Linked DNA regions of Alligator mississippiensis. The protein of the gene in region 2 interacts with the protein of the main gene of each other region in a pairwise test. Links are inferred from orthologs where the notes say so. Each region holds a gene or a part of one and is shown on either strand. Other genes may lie near its edges. The genes, in order: OSTF1, REL and DMRT3.

Region 1 (3,745 bases), on a different chromosome or scaffold from region 2:
TAAATGTTGAACTAATCCTCCATAGATGCAAGGGAAACTAGGGTCATGTACGGTGTTCAAAGGGGCAGGGAAGCCTGAGAGGTGCTGGGGAAGCTTCGGTGAGTGTGTGCATTTAAGCAACAAAACGTAAATAAAAAAAGATGTGGGAGGCATGGGGCACTTCTGGCTGGAGAGCTACAAGGGGGCATGGAGGAAAGAATGAAAGTAGAAAACCTGGAAATTTGTGAATAAAGCTTGCTTATACATAAAAATACTGCTATTGTTTGATATCAGAGGGCAAATCCAAGTATGTTTTGCATGCCCTATTTGTGCATCTCTATGCTTTAGCAGAGAGCACATTAAAAGACATGCTGCAAATGAATATTCATAAAATTAGTCCTTGCTTAGGTGTTTATGCTCAATTTTTGTAGCAACTGCAGGACTACCTCCTGATCCATCTTCCCACTGAGGTGAATGGGAGAAGTTTCCATTAGAATCATAGAAAATGAGGGTTGGAAGGGACCTCGGGCAGTCACCTAATCCAACCCCCTGCTCAAAGCAGAACCATCCCCATTCTCCATCTCCTAACACAAGAACAAGCGCATGTTGGACAAAAAAAAGGACAGAAAAGAATTTTAAAAGATCAAAAGAAATGCTCTGAAAAAGCAGAGAAGAGAGAACTCAGTGCAACTGGACCAGCAACTTTCCTGGCCTCAAAAAGAAGCCGTATAACACACTCAACAACCTGGTAGTTACTAGGAAAGACAGAAGCCTTATGCTTCATAGAATTATAGAGAAGTCGGGACTCCTAGAGATCATTGAGTCCAGGGGTGGGCAAAATACAGTGCGGGAGCATCCAGCTTGCCAGCCCATTCTATCTGGCCCGTGGGCCCCCTAGAAAATTTAATATACGTTTGCTCCTGGCTGCTTGTCAAAGATATCAAGGTCCAGGGGCAGTAGGACCCAGGGGAAGCCAGCAGTGGGATGCAGCAGCAAGACCCACCTAGCTCTACCCCCCCAACCAGAAGCCCCTGTCTAGCAGAGGCTTCTGGCCTGGGACTGTGGGGCTGTTCCTGCTTCCTTGTGCCGGAGAGAGAAATGGGGCCCTCAACATCTTGCCAAAACTGGGTAAGTAGCCCTCCACCTGAAATAAGGTGCCCGCCCCTGATCTAGCCCAACCCCCTGCCTGAGGCAGGATCATCCCTATCCAAACCTGTACAGTTCAACATCTAACTTCTGCATGACTTTCAACCTTGCCACAACACAGACCTAACCCCTTCACCTGCCACATGTAAAGCAGGGGAACCATTCACGCCACCACTGTTCCTTCAGTGTGCCTGCCCCACCTCCCTCCTACAGTAGCCTGTGGCCGGGTTAGGGCGGGGGGCGAGTGGCCAGACACGAAGCCAGCAACAGGGGGAGTGTTGGTGCCCCCTTGCTATGGCACTGGGTGCCTCATCGGTACGCCACTGTGTGCACAGCATGATTTTTTATTTTTTTATATAAATATATATATTTTGTTTGCAGCTTAGTGGGAACGCTGGCGCAACCTTCCTGCTTCTATAAAAATGCTTCCAATATATTCTCCTGGGTAACATTTTGTGTGGCGTGAGAGGATAGGTTAGGGAGCAGGCCTAGCTCTATCTGTGGGAGGGCAGCATTACGTAGGCATCAGAGTCCTAGACTCTGACTCCCGCAGCCTGGGCTGCATTGGTCCGTACTAGGCAGCTGCTGCCTCCATTTTCCCCACCTGTAAAATGGGGAGAAGGACATTGGCTGCTGCCTTCCAGGAAGCAGTAAGTCAAAGCCACTAGGCAGCCCCTCACTGGGCCAGGCCTCAGCATAGGGTGGTTTCTTGCACCTTCACCTCCAGCCTCTGAAGCGGGTGCAGGAGGGCTAGGTAGCAGCTCTTTTCTACTCCTGCCAGCTCCTGCCTTCTGCCCCTGCGTTTGCCACAGCCCCACCCCCACCCGGCTCTCGTTTCTGCAGGGCAAGGGTTAGTGGCTGCCTTAGCAGCGGCTCCCCGGTTTAACCCCAGTGTCATTCAGGTGGAGGCAGAGACTGGGGGGGTCAACCCGGAGCGGTCACGGCCGCCGGGATCCCCCTCCCGCGGGTGCCCACGTGTCATTGCGGCTCTGCCCTACCCCTACCTGGCTTGGCCGGTTTCGGCGGCGGCTTGGACATGGCTGCGACTCTGGCCGCCCCACCCGGCGGTGCTGCTAGCGCTGCGCGAAGGGGCGCGGGGCGCTGGGCTCCCTTTGGGCGGCAGCGACGAGGAAGTGCGAGGCTCGGCGACCCCGCGCGCGGGCTCCACCTGCAGGCGGCCGTGGGGCGCTGCAAGCGGGGACCGGGAAGCCAGGGAGGGAAGGCAGCAGCCAATCCCCGCCGGGGCGGAGGACGAACGTAGCCAATGGCTACAGGGTGGGCGGGGTCACGGAGGCCTCGCCCCCTTGCTCCTCTTCTCCCCCCTCCCTTCACCAGTGGGCGGGACCAGGTCTTACACGTCAGGGAGTGGGGGTGGGGCTGGGGCTCCGGCCGCAGTAGGGGGAGGGCAGTGTGGCGTAGTGTCTTAGTGGGGGTGGGATTCAATTGTGTGCGTCACAATGGAAATGGGGCGGGGGTGGAGCTCTGCAGCGCTGCGTTACAATCGGGGCGGTGGGTTCCTGACGCAGCGCGGGAGGGTGATTCCGTGCAAGGCTGCAGGCGGGCCCCGGGGACTGTGTGGGGCATCGCGGGGGAGGCCGCCTGGCGCCTGGTGGAGCTGCCCCGCGTTGAGCGGTGGGTGCTTGCCCACGCTGGGCGTGAGGGGCTGGCGGGTGGGCAGCAGGAGGGGAGGGGGGAGCTGAGCCTGTGTGCAGCGCTGTCCAGATCCGGGACCCTGGAACCTGATGGAAAGCTGCCGGCCTCCGCGGGAGGGTATCAGCCAGGGCGGCGTTTCCCAACCCGTGGGGCGCGACCTTCTTGGTGGTTAAGATCAAGTGTACTCGCTGCACTGGTGCGGTACCGGAGCTGAAATGGATTTAAATAAAGGGCATTGTGTGGCGGAGGGGGCACCCTTGTCCAAATGCACTGTGGACAGGACACCTTGTAATTGGCTTCCAACTGGCCAGTTTCCAGCAGGACGACCTCGGCTATGCACCTACTTTATGGAATTGGGGCACCTCTCCCTAGCTTTCTAATGCATGCAAGCGAGGCTTGGGGGGGCATCTGAACCCCAAGCCTCTGGGCTTGGGTCTGCACATAGGTCGCCTACCAATGGATTTGGATTTGGATTTGGAAGTATCTGAAGCCCTAGGCTGTGAAGTCGGGTGGAGGATAAATGCTGGTTGCTGTGCCACATATGGTGTTTAAACTATGAGTTTTGCTCAGTCAAAAGGAGTCAGAACTGATCTGGCCTAGAACATTAAAAATCTTCCACAAAAAAATTAAAAAGTGGGTTGCAAGAATATATGAAATGGTCGCAAGCCGACTTTAAAAATGGGTTCTCCTTTAAAGGAGAAAAACCTAGGAAACTCTGGGTTTTCCCCTTGGAGGCTGGCAGAGTTCCAGCGTGCAAGGGGCTGCTTGGGGCTTCCCACAACCTACAAACCACCCCGCCTCCTGCCCCACATGAGGGGGCGGCAGGTCCAGAGTGAGGGGCACTGGGTCAGGACTGGACATTGATTTTTACAAATGGGTCCTGGTACAAAAAAAGTTGAGACCCACTGATCCAGGTGGCCTGGCCCTTGGACCCTATGGCACTTTTGGGATGTTAGGTGGGGAACAC
Region 2 (3,745 bases):
GAGCGTGACCACAGTGGCTCCACAACATGAATCACTATCCAGAATGCCCATGAAGTGAGGTATATGCAGCAGACACTATGGTGGCACTGCTGAGAAAATTCTGGCTGTCCAACTCACATGATAGTGATCTGTTCAGAGCCTCTGAGCCAACTCTTCCAAGCTGAGCACCCCAAAAAAATGAGAGGCCGTTCAGAAAAGTCAGATATTATATTCTAAGTATTTGCAGCTCTCTGAAGGGTAGGGGCCTAGGCAGACAATTCAGAGGTAACATGTCTATTACAAAATATTTGCCTACAACCTGAAATAAGTGCAAATATCCTCTTAATTTAGAAAAGAGTAATCCCCTACCTAAGTCTTCAGGACCTGCGTAGCACTCTAAGCAAAACTGCTTTGCACACTTCCTCTTTGTTATCATGTGACATTACAGAATAGTAACAAAAAGTCAGTAAATACTAGGAAGTTAAGAGCTTCCTCTGCTGAAAAATTCCTTTGCCAGTTAGTTGCCAATATGTTGAAAATCTATTCAGCACTGATAACAGAGAGATAGATATCTCCTGCTTCAGCTTACCCGCTTTAAAATACAATATCAAATTTGAAAGGGCACAGGCTCAATAATTTTATTTATCTGACTATAAGCCAACATTTAGAAAAGCAGATCAAGCACATGCACTAGCAATGGCTGACTTAACACGCAGATCACAAAGCAGATACAGGTTAGACAACATTTTTCTTGAGGACAGCAACTACTCTTAATTAATGCAACCACCTCTAAAATGGATTTTTTTTTTTAATTTCTATGAAAGATGCAAGATCAAAAGCTTTTCTTAGATAAAAATTAATTGCATTATGTCTGCTGATTCCTGTTTGCCTGCTCCATTTATGTTTATTACATTGTTGTTGTGGCAGCTCTCCCTCTCTCACTTCTTTCTCAATATCCTCTTCTAATGTGAACAGCATTCATCAGCTGAACATCAGACAGGTCTTAGACAACTGGTAATCACCCCAGATCTGAAACTTATATGTACATTTGGCTCTTTTAATTTAATTTCCGCTTGTTTTTTAAGTTTAAATGAGCCATTCTGAAAGTGATCAGTCTTAGCTCTAAATTCACATTTTCTAATGTTTGTTCACTATCTATTTTGTTAAAACCAAATAAAGTAAATATTTGGACAAGTGTTTACTACTGTTCCTAAAATCATGATTGTAGATTTTAACAATAGTACTTTAAGTAGCAGAAAAATAAAAACAAGCAGGCCAACAGATTTTCAGAAGTGACTAGTGATTTGGGGCTACCAATCAGTTATCAATTTAACGTAACTTATAGGAAGCCTTAGAACCTAGCCCCTGAAAATCAGTTCCCTTTAAAAAAGTGTCTCAGCTTGGACACCTAAATATTAAAGCATCCAAACCACAAGTCAGTTTATAAAATGCGTGCACAATGGCAGCTTCTCATAGCTTAGCAGATTTACTAGTCTAGGTGTACCCTACACACACACTGCGGGGCTGGGGACAGTGGGTCAGGAGTGAGGGGCAGTGGGTCAGGACTGGCCACTGGTGTTTACAAATGGGTCCTGATACAAAAGAGGTTGAGAACCACTGCTTAAATGCACAGTTATAGTCCTGAGCCTCTGACTACAAATAGGCAAGACATGCCAGGGGCTGTCCAGCAGAACAGCAATTTTTCATTTAAAAAGTGAAGGTTTGGTTGATATATGGGAGCATGCCTTAGAAGGCAAATATACCAACCACAGCAGGAAAAGATACCAATCCATGCCACAACAGCAGAGAAGGATTTGGGCATCATAACAGGTAACCAAGTTGCCTAAAACAAGTGCCTATATTTAGCCACCATGTATGCAATGGAAATTACACTGCCTTTAACGAAGATGCAGATTATAAATGGATTGTTTGAACTTATTTCATGCTTTTTCCTGCAGAGCTAAGTCAGGAGCTTTGAGCTGAAAAGCACCATCAAAGTGAGGGTGGAGGAAGTCCTTCTCCACATTCTCGTGGGGGGGATGCGCATGAAAACCCGATCGGGAACCACTGCTCCAAGTGAAGTGAGCATCAGCTCAGGAAAGCCTGTGTTACACAGCCAGAGATGAGAGAGCCACCGACACAATGTCGGTATCTCTAAGGGACAGATCCGTCCTGCCCTGTTACAGGAAGGGACCCGCTCACCTGGGCTCCATTTGGTACGCACATACATACACACAGAGCTTTCCATGTCCGCTACACACACCCATGTCTACTACACACACACGGCCACTCTACGCGCACGCGCCTCCATTACCCCCCCGTGCCCACTGCCCCGCGGTGCCCGGCCGCACTCACCCGCCATGGCGCTAGCCCTCGCACGCGGCCCGCTGCTTGCTGCTGCCCGGGGACTCGGGCTCGGCCGCGGGTCCCTGTGCAGCTGCCGGCCCGGTCCGGCCCAGCCCGGCCGTCCCGCCCCCGCAGCTTGGCCCCGCCCCGCCCCGCGCGGGAATTTCCCCGCCAGTGACGCGCGCCAGGGCTGGCCGCCGCGCTCTGCTCGTCCCCGCCCCCGCCCTGCCCCTGGCGAGGCGCGGCGGCGTCTCTCCGCCCGAGACACGCGCGGCCAGTCGGCCGCCCCCGGCCCGGGACACCTCCTGCTCTGTGGGGGAGGCTCTGGCTCGTCTGAACAGGTGGAGACTGGAGGGTTTCACTTACCTGCCAACCTGCACAAGGGCAGAGAAGGCCACTGTCTTCACCCGCCTGAAGGACCTAAGCCAGGGACTAGCGCGGAATTTGAAGGGAAGGGAGAATTTCTCTGTCTCTGCCTGACACACATGCACACACACCGAACTGCAGTTTAATATGCATTATACACACAGGATGAACTGCACACACACACACTGCAGTTTAACATGCATCGTACACACAGGATGAACACACACACACTGCAGTTTAACATGGATCACAACTGTAGTTTAACATGCATCGTACACACACAGGATGAACTGCACACATGCACACACACGGCCTGAAGTTTAACATGCATTGCACACACAGTGAACTGCAGTTTAACATGCATCACACATGCCAGATGAACTGCACGTACACAAGCTGCAGTTTAACATGCATCACACACACACACACACACACACACATAGAGGATGAACTACACATGCACATACAGTGAACTGCAGTTTCACATTCATCTCACACCCACAGGATGAATTACACACGCACACACACTGCAGTTTAACATGCAGCTGTGGGAGTTATTGGCTGAGGAGTTGCACAGTTTTGTTCTCCGTCCATCCTTTCCACCAGTTAGCTAAATGCAAGACTAACAGCACATTCATGGTCAGTTGGACAAAGCTGACTTACAACACCCTAGAAACAAAAGGCAGGATTCAAAAAGATTTGACTTTTCGTTCCACTTTGTACCAATTTAACATTCAAAAGAGGGGAAATATCACATCGTTTCCTAGACCAGTGGTACTCAAAGGATGTACTGTGGAAGCAGCAAAAGTGTGTGCTAAAAATGGGTTGGGTGGGGCTCTGGCTTCATCAGCACCACATACAGGATTGGACCCACAGACTGGATCTGGCCCACAGACTGGTGAGTGAAGTGTGCTGCCAATTTTAATCCAGAAAAAAAGTGTGTCCCAGGTATCAAGCTTGGGAAACACTATACTAGTCACTAGCCAAAACCTATTGGCCTGCTAGCCAAGACCTAGTGACCAGCCCAGAATTTAAATGAGTTATCATAAGTCTA
Region 3 (3,745 bases), on a different chromosome or scaffold from region 2:
GCTTGGGGCAGCTGAGCCCCCACCCCCATAAGAGATGAAAACCCTCCTGTAAGATTTGAAAATCATAATCTGGAGAGGAGGTCTCGGAGTAGACTTGTTAACCAATGAACCAGTTTAACTTAGTGTTAAACCCCTCCAAGACCCACCCCCAAGAGTCAAAGTGTAACTCCTGACTATCAGGGACAAGCGGGCTGCCCCCAGGGACCAGTGCACATGGCTCCAAGGCGGGCGGGAGCCCTCGGAGTTTGGTGCAGAGCCCAATGCACCAGCCCCAGGCTCCAGCCAAGCCCCCTGCTTCACTCCCACGGGCCGGGATGGCGCGGGGCTGAGCCTGAGAAAGCCTCAGCTTGTCCATCGGGGGTTTCCTCCCCACGGGCAGCAGCCCCCCCCAAGACTATGAGGGCCGCTGGGATGCACAGCGCTGCCCCCACAGCTGCCATGTGTGGGGATGAAGAGGGCTGGAAACCCCCCTGCGCCTTCCTCTGGCTCAGGGGCCATGTCCCTGCTCTCTGCACACTTTCTCTGCCTCAGGCTTTCGCTGGGGCCATGAGGAGCAGCCTGGCAGCCCCTCTGCGTGCAGGGAGCTTCTGTCCCTCAGGGAGGAGGATTTCCAGAATGATTTTGCTGAGCCAAAACAAAAATAAATCTCTAAAAAAAGTGTTAGCTGTAAAGTTATTCAGAGGGGAGGGAAGAGGGGCTGAAGAATGAAGTAAACAAATGGCAGGAGCTGCTGCCCCACTCTCACATTGCCCCAGGAGAGCGCACAAACAGGGCAGGGTCTGCGGGGGTGGGGGAGCCGGGCAGGAAAAGCAGGCTCCAAGGGGGATCTGATTGTGTCCCACCGGGGGCCGCACAGTGCCTGCTGGCTGGGAGCTGCCCCTTCCCACTCATCTCCGCTGCCAGTCCCCACTGGGGCGAGTGAGGAGGGAGCAAGCCACGGATCTGGCCTGGAACAAATTCAATCGGGCTGGGCATAAGGGCTTTGCCCTCGCCTTGCCATACAAGCTGCCATCTCCTGGGACAGCCCATGGGTCCCTCTTGCCCAGTGCCTTGCAGGGGCAGAGAGTGGAGCTGAAAACAAGTGAGGAGTGGGTCTGAGGAGGGTCTTCCCCACTCCTCTCTCGCTTGCAGCCCCCAGCGTGGGGGGCTGATCCAGAGGCTGTGCCCCTCACTCCCCTGCTGCCCCTTTCCTCCAAGAAGGTGTCCAGTCCCTTTCTGAATCTGCCTAAACCATCAGCTTCCCCCGCATCTGGGGGCAAGGAGTCCCGCAGGCTTTGAGGCACTGCATGAAGAGGAGCTTCCTTTTGTTTCTTCTCAACTTCCTACCTTCTCCTTTCATCTTCTGCCCCTGGTTCTTGCCCGCTGAGAGAGGCAGTGATCAATCCCCACCAGCTTTCTCCTGCCCGTGGACTTTGCAGGGCTGGGAGGTCACCTCATGCAAGGCAGGATCATCCCTCTCCAAACCCTCCCTGTACAAGTAGGTAAATCTCCTCTCCAGCCTCTCTTTTCTCAACCACCCAGGCCTGGGCTCCTCACAGGGAAGCCCCTCCATCCAGCTGATCAGCCTGGCAGCCCTGCTCTGGGTCAGGCCAGCGTCCCCTAGGCAGCTCATCTCCAGGGAAGGAGAGTCCTTTCCCTTTTTGGGGGGAGGGAGGGATCCCACTCAGCCTGAGCCCCCCATGCCTCGGGAATGAGGGCCAATGAGGGCTGGAAGGGAGGGCATCCAGCCCGACACCCTGCTCCGAGCAGGACCCACCGCATCCGGACCAAAGGCTTTGTCTCGCCGGCGCTCCCAGCCCTCCAAGGCGGGAGGAGGCTCCCTGCGCTGAGAAAGTTTGCCCGGTCTCTCCAACCCAACCCCGCCCGGCCGCGGGAGCCTCACCTGCTTTGGGCGGCGGCTGAAGGCCGGCGGGCGGGTCGGGCGCCCAGCGCAGGGCGGCGGCGGCGGCCAGCTCGGCCGGGGGGCGCTGCGGGCTGGCGGGCGGCGGCGGCGGCGGGGCGCCGGGCAGGGCTCGCAGGGAGTCGGGGATGAGGCTCTCGAGGCTCTCGTTGGCCTGCTGCCGCCGCAGCGCCACCTGCGCCGCCATGACCCGCTGCCGCTCGATGATGAGGATGCACTTCTCGCAGGTGCAGTCCTTGAAGCGGCAGTAGCGCTTGTGGCCCTTGAGCCAGCTGAGCACGCCGTGGTTGCGGCACCGCGCGCACTTGGGCGTGCGCTGCAGGGGCGCCCGCGGCGGCTGCGACACGGGGCCGCCCATGTACAGGTAGGGCGAGCCGTAGCCGTTCATGCCCCGAGCCGCGCGCTGCTGCGGCCGCAGCCTCTGCCTCCGTGCGGCCGCTCGCCGGCCCGAGCCCCAGCCCCGCACCTGCCTCCCACCTGCGCCCGGCCTGGGGGCGGGCCGCGGGAGGGAGCGGGGGGAGGCGCGCCGGCTCCTGGGCAGCCGCTGCAGCCACTGGGAAGCGGGCGGGAGGAGTGTGTGCGCGCTGGGGAGGGGGGGCTCCCCCACTTGGGGCTTGCTGCTGCTGCCTCCAGGGCTGGGCCGGGCTGGGGGCAGCCGACCCCTCGCTTGCGGCTTCTCGGGGGGGTTCCCCAGCACCCCTCGCTTGCAAGGAGGGCGGGGAGGTGTCCCCCCCCCCCCTGCAGCAATGAGGTGCCTGAGCGGGCTGCACGGGCCCCGGCTGCTCTGCACCAGTGGGACCCGCCGCGCTAAGTTTCACAGGACGGGTACCAGGGGAGAAGGAGCCGGGCGAGAGGCGCCGGTCCCATCCCCTGCGCCCGCCGCAAACCGGCTCCCAACCGGCCGCGATCGCATTTCCTGGCGGAAACAAATGGCCGGAGCCGGCGGGCCCGAGGTCTTGCCTCCCCGCCCGGCTGTTTCTCGCCAAGATGGCTCCTGCCATGCCCCCCCGGGCAGCCCCCTCCCCGGCGGCCCACCCCGAGCCGCAGTCCGTAACTCTGCTTTCCAGCTCCCCCAGCCCGCGCGGCTCAGCTCCCGGGCAGGCAACCAAAGGCGCTTCCCAGCAACCTTCCCCGAAGAAAAAATAACCCCCCAAACCCCGCCGTGAATGCAGCTTGGGATGAAGCAAATTCATCTCAGGCGGTTGTTAAACCCGGACAACCCCCCGAGCTGACTTTCGGAGCGTGGCGATCGCCCTTCTGCTCCCACATTCACTCCGTGCCAGGGGCCGCGGGCTGGTGGCCGCGTTTGAAAGTTTGCCTTTGTTGTTCCTCAACCAACATTTTGTTAAAAAGAAGTTAGTTTTATGCCGCGGCTGTTTGATGGCAGCGGTGACATATTTAGCAACTTTCAAACGTAGAGATCGCTCATTCACTTCGAAAAGTCTTTTTGCCCAGAAGGAGTAAAAGTGCGAGACGGATACACGCGACCTGAGATTTCACTCGGTCCCGTGTTCCTTTTCAAAGCCCTCCTTCGCTTTCCCAGCTGGTCGATTCGTATTTTACACACAAATCTTGCCGCTATCAAAGGAGAGGGGCTTCTTGTCTAACTCATCTGTTGCTTTTTACATGACGAGGAAACTGAAACAGATCGGGAATAGGGCACGCAGTCCATTTATTTTCTGCAGAATGCCCAAATCGCAACACAATGTTTCCCCCGTATTGTTTGTGTCTCTAACGTTGGTTGATGCTAGTCTCACCCCGAGAATATTACACAGACATAGACCACGTTTCCTACAGGCAATTTTAAGCCCTTGCAAAAATCTCTCTCTCTCTCTCTCTATATAT

Evidence for each region.
Region 1: the proteins of REL (region 2) and OSTF1 interact in binary tests that used the Homo sapiens proteins (3 or more experiments, as listed by UniProt). The two-hybrid records come from large-scale screens. The link is inferred for Alligator mississippiensis from reciprocal best matches to the Homo sapiens genes REL and OSTF1.
Region 3: the proteins of REL (region 2) and DMRT3 interact in binary tests that used the Homo sapiens proteins (3 or more experiments, as listed by UniProt). The two-hybrid records come from large-scale screens. The link is inferred for Alligator mississippiensis from reciprocal best matches to the Homo sapiens genes REL and DMRT3.

Annotation. Positions count from the first base shown.
Region 1 is NC_081826.1:197,735,686-197,739,430, reverse strand, and holds the start of OSTF1 (osteoclast-stimulating factor 1), read right to left. Parts: upstream 2,289-3,745; 5' UTR 2,164-2,288; coding exon 2,130-2,163; intron 1-2,129.
Region 2 is NC_081824.1:211,735,001-211,738,745, reverse strand, and holds the start of REL (proto-oncogene c-Rel), read right to left. Parts: upstream 2,462-3,745; 5' UTR 2,342-2,461; coding exon 2,335-2,341; intron 1-2,334. UniProt on the Homo sapiens protein: Proto-oncogene that may play a role in differentiation and lymphopoiesis.
Region 3 is NC_081826.1:192,449,827-192,453,571, forward strand, and holds the start of DMRT3 (doublesex- and mab-3-related transcription factor 3), read right to left. Parts: upstream 2,854-3,745; 5' UTR 2,289-2,853; coding exon 1,883-2,288; intron 1-1,882. UniProt on the Homo sapiens protein: Probable transcription factor that plays a role in configuring the spinal circuits controlling stride in vertebrates.